3 linked regions of the Sus scrofa genome follow. The protein of the gene in region 1 interacts with the protein of each later gene in a pairwise test. Links are inferred from orthologs where the notes say so. Each region holds a gene or a part of one and is shown in the gene's direction. Other genes may lie near its edges.

Region 1 (3,596 bases):
ACCTGCTTCGTGCCTGAACCCTCAGAGCTGCACGTTGCTGGGGAAAGTCACCAGCCTCCGGTTAAATCAGTGCCCACGCTCCCCAGAGATCCTTCTCTGTTTCTCTGACACCTGCCAGTTTGCTTCCGGCGAGGTTGGCGACCTCATCCCCTCTCCTTCTGGAACCTCCAACACAGACACCCCCGGCTGCTCCCTGCACCCTGCTGCTGGCTTCTCTCCAGCTCTCTAGCTGAGATCCAGGGGGCTTGGAAGGCATCGACCCATTCTCTCCACCACGGATCACATGGTCTGCTTTCCGTCTTGATGAAAGAAGAGCCGTCCCTGCTGAGGGGTCCAGGAAGGAGGGGACCTGACTGGACTCCTCACCTGTGGCCTCGAGTCTGTTTTCTACAAAATGACCTGAGTGGAGTTTCCGACGTGGCTCAGGGCTTAATGAATCCGACTAGGAACCACGAGGTTGCGGGTTCAATCCCTGGCCTCACTCAGTGGGTTAAGGATCCTGTGTTGCTGTGAGCTGTGGTATAGGTCGCAGACATGGCTTGGATCTAGTGTTGCTGTGGCTGTGGTGTAGGCCGGCAGCTACAGTTCCGATTCGACCCCTAGCCTGGAAACCTCCATATGCTGTGGGCGCGGCCCTAGAAAAGACAAAGAGACAAAAACAAAACAAAACAAAACAAAAAAGTGACTGAGGAATAAGAAAGAAACGCCCCCCGTCTCTCAGAACTGGCTTGAGCAAGCTTCGTAAGCAAGAGTGCACTGGGCTTTTCTAAGTCCCACCTGTTTTTCTTATTTCCAGATTTGTTCACAAGTGCCCACAAGGACTGCCCCATGCCCCAGGGCACGGCCCCTCTGAGCCCGAACTTGCCCTCCAGCTGCCCACCCATCATGGCTCCAGACCGTGTCACTGGCAAGGTAATTGGTGTCGCTTCATCCCCACCTTCTTCCTGCACTAGGCCCTGGTTCTTGGGCTGTGCCCTACGGGTCCCCAGAGGGAGCAGAAGCCATGTCAAGCTCCTTTCCACCTGCCAGGCTTGGCTACTTCCTGTGGGATCAGGGCCCCTAAGGGTTGGTACTCAGCTGGATGAAGGTCTGAACTGGCTGGGCATCCAAGGACTGAACCAGCCTGCTGAGAATAGAGAGCCCCATGCTGAAGCCTTCCCATCCAAGGTAACTCAGGCTTGCGGGTAACACGTTCTGTTACCAGCCCACGACTCCCTAGCAGCCTGCACTGCCTGCTGGAGAGGAAAGGCCTGGAATTCTCAGTCCAGGAGATCTGGAAGGTCTAGCAAGGAGCCTCCAATCCTGGTGCATAATTTCCACCTTTGCCCCCGAGGTTGTGGCTTGAACCTACTGGTTAATGCAATTACCTTTTTTTGGAGCATATACCACAGGCCAAGTGTTGTGCCAGGCATTTTGCCTACATTATGTCATTTATGCGTCAAAACAGCCCGGGAGGTAAATGGCATTGTGACCATTTTACAGAAGATGAACCTGATGTTCTGAGATGTTCAGGCACCTGTCCAGGGATACCCAGGTAGCAATGGCAGAGTCAAAACTCGAACCCAGATCTGATCCAGCCCCTGTACCCACTGCCTCTCCTGGCAGACCCACCGCTGCCCCGCCTCCACCCCCCAGACCACTTCTGTCCCCGCCAGGGGACACCAGGGCATAACCCATGAGTAGGCAGACCCTGACCTCAGGGAGCACCAGAAAGCTGACCCAGGGCTTCATGCCATCTGCTGGCACACTGTGCCAGGCTCCGCCTGTTCCTCTTTCTCCCTTTGTTTTAGGACAAACAGATGGATTTCTGTTGGGATCCTTGGCAGGTCAGTGCACGTGCCCCGCCCCTGGTCTAACCAGCCCCAGCTGCCCCTGCTGCCCCCGCCTCTGCTCGGCCCAGCCCGGGCACATGGAGCTGCCCACCCGGTGGGGGGGTGCTGAGGACATAGGTCCTGTGGGGGTTGGCAGGATTGCCCAGAGTACCTGGGGAGGGTGGGTAAGGGGGCTGGGAGGGGTGGGGGATGCCATCTCGTAGGTCTGCCTCCCCCTGCTCACCCCCTCCCCCTCCTGCAGAGGTGCTTCCAGACCACCAATGGCTACCTGTCCGACTCCAGGTCGTGCTCCAGCAACTATAACGTGGCAGCCCTAGCCACCTCATCCCTTGTGGGTAAGCTCTGCTGCCCTTGAAGTTGGCAACCCCCCACCCCCAGGCACTAGCTGTGGGAAGGTCAAAGGTGAATTGCAGCTGGAAGGGTCGCCACCCTGTTGGAGTCAACATTTTTGTTTGTTTTTTTTCCTTTTTAGGGTTGCACCTGTGGCCTATGGAAGTTCCCAGGCTAGGGGTCAAATTGGAGCTGCTGGCCTACACCATAGCCTCAGCAACGTGAGATCCAAGCCCCGTCTTCGACCTACACCACAGCTCATAGCAACACCTGATCCTTAACCCACTGAGTGAAGCCAGGGATCGAACCCTCGTCCTCATGGATACTAGTTGGGTTCTTAACAGGCTCACCCACAGTAGGAACTCCGGATTCGACTTTTTCTAAAGGCCAGGCTCCATGCTGGGCCCTGCAGTACTTAGGGTTCCTGCCCCTGGCACCGCCCCCCCTCCCCCCGCCCCCGCTGCCGTGTGTTGAATTGTTGTATCCTCCAGAAGTTCTGGGAGATGGCCCTGATTTTCCGGGCGTCTGCCCCGTGTGGTCTCCCCGCCCCTCTGCAGACGTTGAAATCTGCCACTCAGGCCAGCATGGGTTGGGGTTCCCTAGAAGCAGAGCCCGAGTTGAGAATTGTCGTGCTAGTGATTTGCTGAGGGAGTGTTCTGGAAGGGAACCTGTAGGAAGGAAGGGAGCCAGGGCAGCAGCACAGGGCAGGGCAGGGAGCTCGGCAAAGGTGTGGTGGCAGAAGTCTTGTCCTTCTCAGCCCGATTCCATGGGAGCTCCGGAGCATGACTCGCACCACGGGATTCGTGGCGCTGAGGCCAGGTGGCTGATTTTATGTTATTCCTCCAGCAGTCTGTCACTGGCTGCCACTGGGCTCTCCCACCTCCCCAGCTTCTCCAGGTGAGGCAGTTCCCATTGGCCAAAGGCAAGGCTCCTGAGAAGGATGCGGGTGTGAGCTGCCAGCAGCAGCAGCCGGGAAAGGGGCCTCGCTGGGCCACCAGGTCTCCCAGGCTGTCCTCAGCCGGCCAGCTCCTCTCTGCTCACAGCTTTGCTCCTTGTCCCTCAGGCTCTCATGTCATTAAATCCTCATGGCCCTTGCTGCCCCCTGACCTTTGCCTTGCCCTTTCCTCTACCCCATCTGCCCCTCGGGGGCCACTGAACCCCCCCCAGAAACCCTCTCTGGTTGCCAGACTCCCCAGCCCTGGGGGATCACCCCCTGCTTGTTCACCCCCATCCCCCCATTTCCCCAGAGTCATACATCTGTTTTTTTCTCTTAAATATTGCCTTTCCTCACATGCACGACTTCTAGGACCAGTGACCCCCAGGTCTGTGTTCTCAGCCTTGGTTAAAGGAGATGCTGAACTGTTCTTGATGACCTTCTTTCTGTCACCTTTCACAGCCGACCCGTCTACTCCCAAGAACCCCTCCAGCACCCCC
Region 2 (4,285 bases), on another chromosome or scaffold:
AGGTTAACTGCAGTTTTCCTGGACGTGATATGGTTTGAAGGCGTTTTGCAAAGCTCTCTGCTTGGATCTTGTTAGCGCCTCCAGAATCTCCCTCCTTGAAAGTGCAATTACCGCCTGAAGATACACCTCGACTGGAGGTGTACATTTGGTATCACCAAAGCTTAGAAAGGTACCTTAAGTCAGTAGGCAGGTGGTTGAGTTATTCAAACAACACCATTGAGGCAGGTTGGGAACATGTGGGAATTCTCCTTGTTTTTCTGGTAGGGAAGCGACCAGGCATTTACTGGGCACTACTCCTTGCCAAGTCTTCTAGGCATTGGCTAGGACAGTTAGGACGGGGCTGGGCCGGCCAACGTCCTAGTCCTTCAGAAACACAGAAGAGGACTTTAGGGAGTTCCCGTCGTGGCGCAGTGGTTAACGAATCCGACTAGGAACCATGAGGTTGCGGTTCGGTCCTGCCTGCTCAGTGGGTAACGATCCGGCGTTGCGTGAGCTGTGGTGTAGGTTGCAGACGCGGCTCGGATCCTGCGTTGCTGTGGCTCTGGCGTAGGCTGGTGGCTACAGCTCCGATTCAACCCTAGCTGGAACTCCATATGCGTGGAGGCCCAAGAAATAGCAACAACAACAACAAAAAAAAAAAAAAAAAAAAAAAAAAAAAAAAAGAAGAGGACTTTATAAGACGTCTTAGTCCAAGCCCTCAACCCTGGAATTCCAAGAGTGGTTCATTCCTTCCCCTTCACTGCCCCCCTCCCCAAGCATATTCAATAAAACGTCTTAAGGGCATAAAGAAGGCCCTTGTTAAACACATGTTGATAATTAGCATGATTCGCCCAAGGTCACCCAAGGCAAGAAGCTTCAAACCCAGGTCCCCTCAGTACACATTTCTCCACGCCATTCTGGACTCGGACCCTCCTGAGCAGCGGATACTAAAAGGCCAGCTCCTAGTCCTCCCAGTATAAGACCCTCGGAAGAAATGGCTCACGCCAACTGCCCACCATAAGAGTTTCTCCACTTTGAGCCAGGAAGATGCCCTCACAGCTTACTGGAAACGCTTCCTTCAGAGAAAGGTATGTCTGCAAGTTATCACCTTCACCTTAAAGCTGACAAAGGGGGGCCGAGGGCCCTCTAGGGCTGAGGGCCATGGGAAAAGCGGGCTCTAAGCTCTCCACCTCTGGCCTCGCCTTCGCCAACAGACTGGGTAACTTACTTTGCTCCGCCTGTCCAGGTGCGGGTTGCCCCAGAGGCCAGGCTCCCTTTTCCTATCTACTTTCCTTTTGAGTTTCTGCTAAAATCTGGAGACATGGAATCCACTCGCGGCAACTCCGAGCCCCTCGAACTGAGCATGCGCCAACGCCTGGCTGCTTTTGGTCACCGGCCCCAGAGCTCTCCGAGCTGGTGCTGCGGAGCGGGAGGAGGAGGAGGAGGAGGGAGGGAGGGAGGAGGGGAAAGGGGAGGGGGTGCCTGGAGAGGCGGAGGCTCGCGCGCCTGCGCATCCAGTTCCAGGGACCCTAGGTTTTTCTATGGGATTCCCAATCTGCAGCAGATTTACCGGAGCGCGTTGCGGCGGCGGCTGGACTTGCAAGGCGCGATCCTAGAGGGATTTAAGCAGCCTGGAGCTCCGGAGACAAAAAGAGCGCGAGAGAACCACACACAGAGCCGGCTTAACCGTTTATCCGAATTAAATATATACACATATAGTTATTTCTAAAGAACTGTTGAGTTTTATCATTGTCGTTAAGTGACCGTGCGCAGCGCTATAACTGTAAGTGGAAAATACAATCTTCGTTGCATTTTTGCATGTGTAGTGCAGCCAATTGTCTGGGAGATGGTTTGGCTATTGTCACATACTTTGCTTTGCATAGATACAGCTAAAGGCACGGTGAGAACTGCTTTGGTTAATGCTGGTGATGGAACCTGCAGTTAGTCCGAGAGGGACCTTTTGGAATAATGGGGGTGGGGGAAGGGGGAGTGTTTGTATGCGGCGTGTTTGGGGGCTTATCTTAGGCTAGCTTTAAGATAGGTGAAACAGAGGTGCTTTTTAAGTTTGTCTATAAATAAGCAGCTTTTCTTCCACCGATTTAAGTAGTTAATTGACCGATTGTGAAGTTTTCCGGTTGCTGATAAAACTATTGAGCGGTTGCAGTCAAGTACCAACCTGTCATCCGTGGGGCTGGTGCACCATTTTTCTCACCGTGGAAGAGCAGTGAACGTGTTCGTTAAGTAAAACTGAGTGGATGAGATGGTGTGGAAACCAGGGTGGGTTTCCAAGAGGATGTGAGTGTTCAGAAACACCGAGGTAGGCGCAGAATAAGCACATGTCTCTGAGTATTTAGAGATGATTAGATCATTTTTCGGTTTTGATTTTTCGTCACGATGGTGAATGAGCAGAAAAAGGGACGGTGTTCAACCGCCCAGTCTAGTCGTCTATTTTGAACAGAGTCTGAGACTCAGAGCCGCCGAACGGGGACTGACAGACGCAAACTAGTTACCTGCTTTTGCATCCCGTATTCGCATTCTTGCATGCAGGGTTGAAAAACGTCTCTTACCCAGATATTTTACCTTCGGTAGCGTTTCTTTAAAGGAGAAAGGGGTCGTTTCGTGGTTTGAGTTAAAACGGGCTGTTCCTTGCCCAGAAACGGAAGAAGGGTCTTTGCAAGGTCAAACCCCCTGTGGAAGGAAATCAGGGGCGCTGGTGAATCGGGGGAGGGGGCAGGAAATGGGGATGCTCCATGCGAGTGCTCAGCACTGCACGGATCAGTGCCCTGTGAGATGCCAGAGTGGGAGTCCATTTTTCTAGAGTTGCCCTCCTGTCCATATTTTGGAGACTAAAATGAGATGGAAATGCTAGTGGGTGCAAAAAAAAAAAAAAAAAAAAAAAGAAAGAAAGAAAGAAAGAAAACAAGTGTAGCCACTGCCTGTGTGTCACAGCCCACTTGAAGACAAGAGGATCCAAAGAGTTGTATTGTTGCATGTTAATTTTTTAATTTTCACGTTGGGACAAATTAAAAAGGAAACTCTCGGGAAAACACGTTTTATCCTCACTGCCATTTAAACTGCCTACATGTGAATGTTGGAGGGGGGGGGAACGGCCTCTGGCATCATCGAACACCTCACTCGTGAGTACCCTCTCATTAAGCTTGGGTGTTTAATAACCCCAGAAAATGCTGCACTGAAGCAGGTTGGCAGAATGGCATGAGGCAGGCAGATGAGAGAAGAGCGTGGCCAGTGTATGCTGGATTTCTGTGGAAAAAGCAGATCCAATTTCTGGGATGAAAGGAAATAAATTTTACCCCAGATAGGACAGATTACTATAGGACTTTTTGGCCCTTTAATCAGTCCAACTGTTTGGAACTCTTGGAAGAAATTTTATCATTTATTTAAGTGGATGAAATTGGAAATAGAAAATTCGAGAATATCCTCTCCTTGGAAACCCAAAGTGTAAATCAGACTGCCTTCTCCATTTGTCTCTTCTTTACTCCAGGGCAGAAGGACCAATCATTTGTCATAATGAGCCATACTCCTTGTCATCAGAGAGAGTTGGAATCAGCTCCCTGAATGGTGCGGGTGTTGCCCCACACTGATAAATGGGTGCTAGAGAAAGAATGGGAAACCTGGTCTGAAAGCTCACAGATGTTTGCCCTCGGATACTCTGGTTCATAGGCTGACAGTTTTAGAGGGTCACATCGGGCAGAGACCTTCGAAAGCATCTAGCCCAAACCCTTATTTTACACATGAGGAAACTGAGGCCCGGAGCCTGGAGCTAGGGAAAAGTCAATTAACTTCTAGCCTATGGAATCAAGAATTAAAAAGTAATCTTGAAGGGAAATGTTTCCTTCTCTCTGCACATTTAGCATCCTTAGTGACACTGCTGACGTCTTCAAATAAATAAAAACCTGCACCCCAGCACATCTTTTGAGAAAGTCCCAGGGGTTCCTTTTCACACTATCATATTTCCCTTCTCTGCCTCTCTTTTTTTTGTGTGAGGTCTCTATTTCCTTTCTCTCACCCCTCATGTCTGATATACCTGCCGCCTTAGATGTTTAGTCTGGCCTCCTCTGTACCTCAGTCAAGTTCTTTGGCATCCTTCGAGTTATTGAAGAGAACTGGCAAACGAGTCAGAATCTTCAGCTCCTGTTTGAAAACTGTCCAGGCCCATCACCATCCCCTCTCTACTCTATTCCCCCAAATCCTTCAGGGAATCCAGCCTTTTGAGACACTGCAGGCAGCCTTCCCCTCTTTTCTACCTGTCTCACCTCTTCCAGAACTGCTGCAGCTGCAGGCACTG
Region 3 (4,383 bases), about 20 Mb from region 1:
GAAGGATGTTGCCCATGGTCTTATGTGGGGTCATTGGCAAAGACGGGACTCCATTTTCAAATTCTAGAGACCACTTCCAGCATCTTATGCTGCCACTTCCACTTCCTCATGCTTTGGATTATGATATCAGTGAGCAGGGATGGGTCCCCAGGGCTAGAGGCTCAGGACGTGACGGAGTCAGGGCTTTCAAACACCTGTCCCTTGTCAGTCACCAAAGGGGACAGGGACGTGCCTACTTACTGGTGCCCCAGGTATGCTCTCATCCCACTAGGACGCCTGCAGCTAGGAGGAAGGGACAGCAAAACAGGTTCAAGAGGGACTGGGATGGTGCCTAAAGAAAAAGAGAGAACACCACTGACTTCTCCCCAGCGAGCCTGGCCATGAAGTTTCTGGGATCAGCCGAGAAACCAAGCCTTCGCTCTTGACCAGCTGGCCCCGCCCACCGCAAAAATTGCTTTCTTGGGCAGAAGTCCCGCCTCTCCCCCTCCCACCTCATGGCTCTTTAGCATCCCAGCTCTGATTGGACTAATCCCCAGACTCCCCGCCCTACTTTTGACAGATGCTTAGCAGTCCCTCCCCTGCACGTGGCCCAGCCAGAGGCTGGCTGCTCCCCTTCCCTACTCGCCCCCCCCACCTCCCCCAGCTTGGAGTAAAAAGGTTCCCTCTCGTCGCCTTGGGTCGGGAGCTCTCAGCTTCCATTGCAGCTGGGGCGGCAGGACAGGGCTTTGGGGAGACCCCCAAGTGCGGGAGGAGGTGTTCCCAGGGCCCTGAAACCTTCCAGACCTGCTCAGTGTAAACCGCCTCGGGCTTGTGTCAACATCCGAAGCCAGAGACTGGCGGCGGCTGGGGACAGACTTCGTCTAAGGAGACCGGAGGGTGGGGAATGGAGGGGTCCATAGGGTAGGCAGAGAGATCCCAGGAGGCTTCCTGAGACTGAGAAATAAGGAAAGTCTGTCTGGGGAGGGATCGGAATTAGAGGCTGTAAGGGGCCCAGGACTAGCGTGGGGCTAAGTGGAGCCTGGGTACTTCGCCATCCCCGTCCACTTGCCTGCTCTCAGTTCCTTGGCGAGAGGGGTGGTTGGGTTGGAAGGGGGATGAGAAGGCGTGGGCTGCTGACTACCGCATCTTTTTCCTCCCCACTCAGTTCCTCCTCACCCTCCTCTGATTTGGGGTGAGATACAGGAGGGGGTCACATCTTGTGACTCATCCCCTTTTCTGTCCCCACCCCCGCTGGGGCCCAAGAAGGAAAGGCTTAGAGACTCGGCTGTGGCTCTCTCGTTTCCATAGCAACCGTGCGGTTGTTTTCGCGGATCCATATCAATCGTGGACACTTTTAACCCCTGAGGCCCGGGTCTGAGCCTCGGGGAGGGAGACAGATGGGGGTACAGCCCTCCCTCTTCCTCGCGACTCTGGGAAGGTCAGGGAGGGCAGGCGGGGCGCGTTCTTGTAGCCCAGCCTCACTGGCCACTTGGTCCCCACCTGAAACCCCGCCTGCCACTCCGCCTCAGCCGAGCCAATCAACGCCTAATCTGCCCAGAATGAGGCGGGGCTTATGCAAATCGTGTCGCCTCCGACAGACACATAGTGATACAAGAGCTGGGAGGCGGCTCCGGCGCGGACCTTGGAGAACCTGGCGGCCGGCCCGCGAGCCAGTCTCGGTCCCCACGGCCCGCCGAGGCTCAGAGTCATCCAGCGACCCGGCGCTCGGCCTCAGGTAACGCGGGCAGGGCCGGGAGGAGGCCCTTGTCCCCTCCCCCTCCACTCTCCATTCCCATCCTCGTCTTCTGCCCCACTCTGATCCATCTCCCTGACCCCTGGTTCCACCATAGGAGGCAGTATATGGAGAGCCCGCCCCTGGCCAGAGGATTCCTCCCCACCCCTCCAGTCCATTCCAGACCCTACAGGTCCCAGGGAAGGAGGCAGAAGCGTGTCCTTACTCTCAGAGCAACCACTGCTCTCGCGCCCAACACACACACACCACACACACACACACACACACACACCTGGGGTCGCAGTGTTGCTGGTGCCAACGAAGGAACCCATCACTCTCCCTCCTTTGGAAATGGGAGATTGCCCCAGCCCCATGGCAACCACCCACCTCCACAGGTAGCCCTCACCGCACACCATCCAACCCCACCAAGAGGTCACTGCACTTCACACCACAATGTCGCTGGCCCCCAAGACAGCCTCCGCCTCCACAGAGAGCCCACTCCCACTTCACGTTGTCGCCTCAGACTGTCCGCACCTCCAGCTCTCAAGCTGACAGAGCTCATAGCATACTTGTGGGAGGGAGGAGGCTCCCACATCCAGTTCTCTTCCTTGAGACACTCTCTCAACAGCCCCCCTGCCCAGGGTCTCAGTGTGAGGCGCAGGCCTCTTTTGCCTGGTGGGAGGATGAACCAGGGACAACACCCCCAACAGACCGTCAAGGTCCCACCCAGCCTCCTCCATTCCCCCAGCTCTCAGCCCTCACGGCCAAAGCACCAAGTCTTCTCATTCCACCTCTCAAATATCTAATTCATACCCTTCCTGGACTTCTGGCATCCAGCCGCTCCCTCTCTCCTATCTTCCTGTGGCTCCACAGGGACCATGACAAAGCTCCAGGTGTGCCTTGCCTAAGGCAGCCTGAACCTGGAGGGCAGAAGAGCCAGGCTCAGATCTTGCCTTTGCCTCAGTGGCTGTTTGACTTAGGCCAAGTCACTTCCTTCTCTGATCTTCCACCAAATGGGGAATTCAGGGGTGGGGTTGGTGTGGGCAAGCCAGAGTGTGGAGTTGATGAGATGATCTTGGACAGCTTTCCAGCACTGACATACTCTGGTTCTGTGGCTGATTATGAGAAAACAGGGCCCTCTCCCTCTTTCCCTGAACCTTTAGGACATTTGAGAGAGGAAGCCTCAGGGACTTTAGTCCTCACTGAAAGGACATTGCTTCTTTCCCAGACCTGAGTATGGACCACCCCCTCCCACACACTTTCCAGACCCAGGCTTCTTCTCAGCTTTTAGGAGTCCCTCCTAGGTCATCAGCCCGCATGACATGGGCAGGTTCAGGGTAGAGGAATTCAACAGGACCTACCCTTTTTTTGTCATCCCCTGTTTCTCAATAATAAGGAGAAGGAGAAGACCTGACTGTTGCTGCTATGGCCGCTGCTTGGAGAAGAGCAAAGGAAGGAGAGGAAAGAGAAAAATCTCCTGACCAGGGAGCTGTTGTCACCATAGCAACAGTCTCAGCACCAGCTCCTCTGAAGCTGGGTGAGGGTGTGGGATTATTGCCTCCCTCAGTCCCTCCCACCCTTCCTGCCACCTCTCCCTCTGGAGCCCACACTCCTGGGCCCTGCCCTCTGAAAGTAGCTTCTGAGCCCAGAGGGACAGCGGCTTTGTGTATGGGGCAGTGCCAGCTCCTTCAAGGCTGGAGGGCAGCCCTCAAGAGGAGCCTGCCCATCTTCAGCATGGCCGCAGCTGCAACAGGACATGCCCCCAGTGGGTTCTGGCCTTCACCTTTCTGCTGACGGGCTCTACTTGACCTTGGGTGAACTCTTCCTTTCCCCATTGTCTCTAAGGTGCCATGGCAGGAGAACACAGATAAACAAACCAGCCAGCCATCATCTCAAGGAGAAAAAAGGGGGTTCTGCCTCTCCCATATAATCCATGCAGGGACATTCATTAAACATGTCTGTGTTCCAGACATGGCCTTTAGGTCTCTGCAGGGCAGTTCTGTACTGTCACAGAGGGCAGAATGGAAACCTGCGTGGGGCAGCTACAAGAGGGCACGATAGGAACAGTGGGAGAAACACTTTTCTCACTGGCCCAGCTGCTCCCAAGAAGGCTGGGTTACATCAAGTAGGGATAAACTCTTTGCCATGGAGCAAAAGGTCTAGAGAACTTTTCCTGGCTCAGGCAAGAATTTAATGCAAAGGTCTCCCCCAAATCAGGCTCTATTCCCGAATTCTAGAGCGCCAGGTGAGGGTCAGAGGACTCTGGAGTCTATGCACCTGTGGGCTCAACTCCATGCCCAGAATGCCAAGTCCATGCTGCTGACTGTCTACTCTCCAGGCTGGGGGAGGCTGATCATAAGGCAGTGGGCTTCAGTCAGGCCCAAAGGCTGATTATAGCTGCATCAGCCCAGAAGGGCAGAAAGGCTATTAGGGAAGATGAAAACAGCCAAGCAATAGTTGAAATAGGTTCTGGCTTGAAAGTACGTAGTTGAGAGGGGAGCAGTGGGAGGTGAGGCTAGACAGGTAGACACCTTGACATCAGATTCTAGAGGACTCTGGAGTTTGAGGGGGCTCATGGGCAAGGCCACCATCTATCTCTAGTTTATATTGTACTTTTGGGCAATAACAGAAAAAACATTCTCTTGGGACAGAGGAATCAGAAAGAAAGGCAC

Evidence for each region.
Region 2: the proteins of FAM131C (region 1) and VSNL1 interact in binary tests that used the Homo sapiens proteins (3 or more experiments, as listed by UniProt). The two-hybrid records come from large-scale screens. The link is inferred for Sus scrofa from reciprocal best matches to the Homo sapiens genes FAM131C and VSNL1.
Region 3: the proteins of FAM131C (region 1) and HPCAL4 interact in binary tests that used the Homo sapiens proteins (3 or more experiments, as listed by UniProt). The two-hybrid records come from large-scale screens. The link is inferred for Sus scrofa from reciprocal best matches to the Homo sapiens genes FAM131C and HPCAL4.

Annotation. Positions count from the first base shown.
Region 1 is NC_010448.4:75,198,539-75,202,134, reverse strand, and holds part of FAM131C (protein FAM131C), read left to right. Parts: intron 1-796; coding exon 797-912; intron 913-1,790; coding exon 1,791-1,826; intron 1,827-2,073; coding exon 2,074-2,167; intron 2,168-3,596.
Region 2 is NC_010445.4:120,285,267-120,289,551, reverse strand, and holds the start of VSNL1 (visinin-like protein 1), read left to right. Parts: upstream 1-1,394; 5' UTR 1,395-1,762; intron 1,763-4,285.
Region 3 is NC_010448.4:95,513,043-95,517,425, reverse strand, and holds the start of HPCAL4 (hippocalcin-like protein 4), read left to right. Parts: upstream 1-1,533; 5' UTR 1,534-1,714; intron 1,715-4,383. UniProt on the Homo sapiens protein: May be involved in the calcium-dependent regulation of rhodopsin phosphorylation.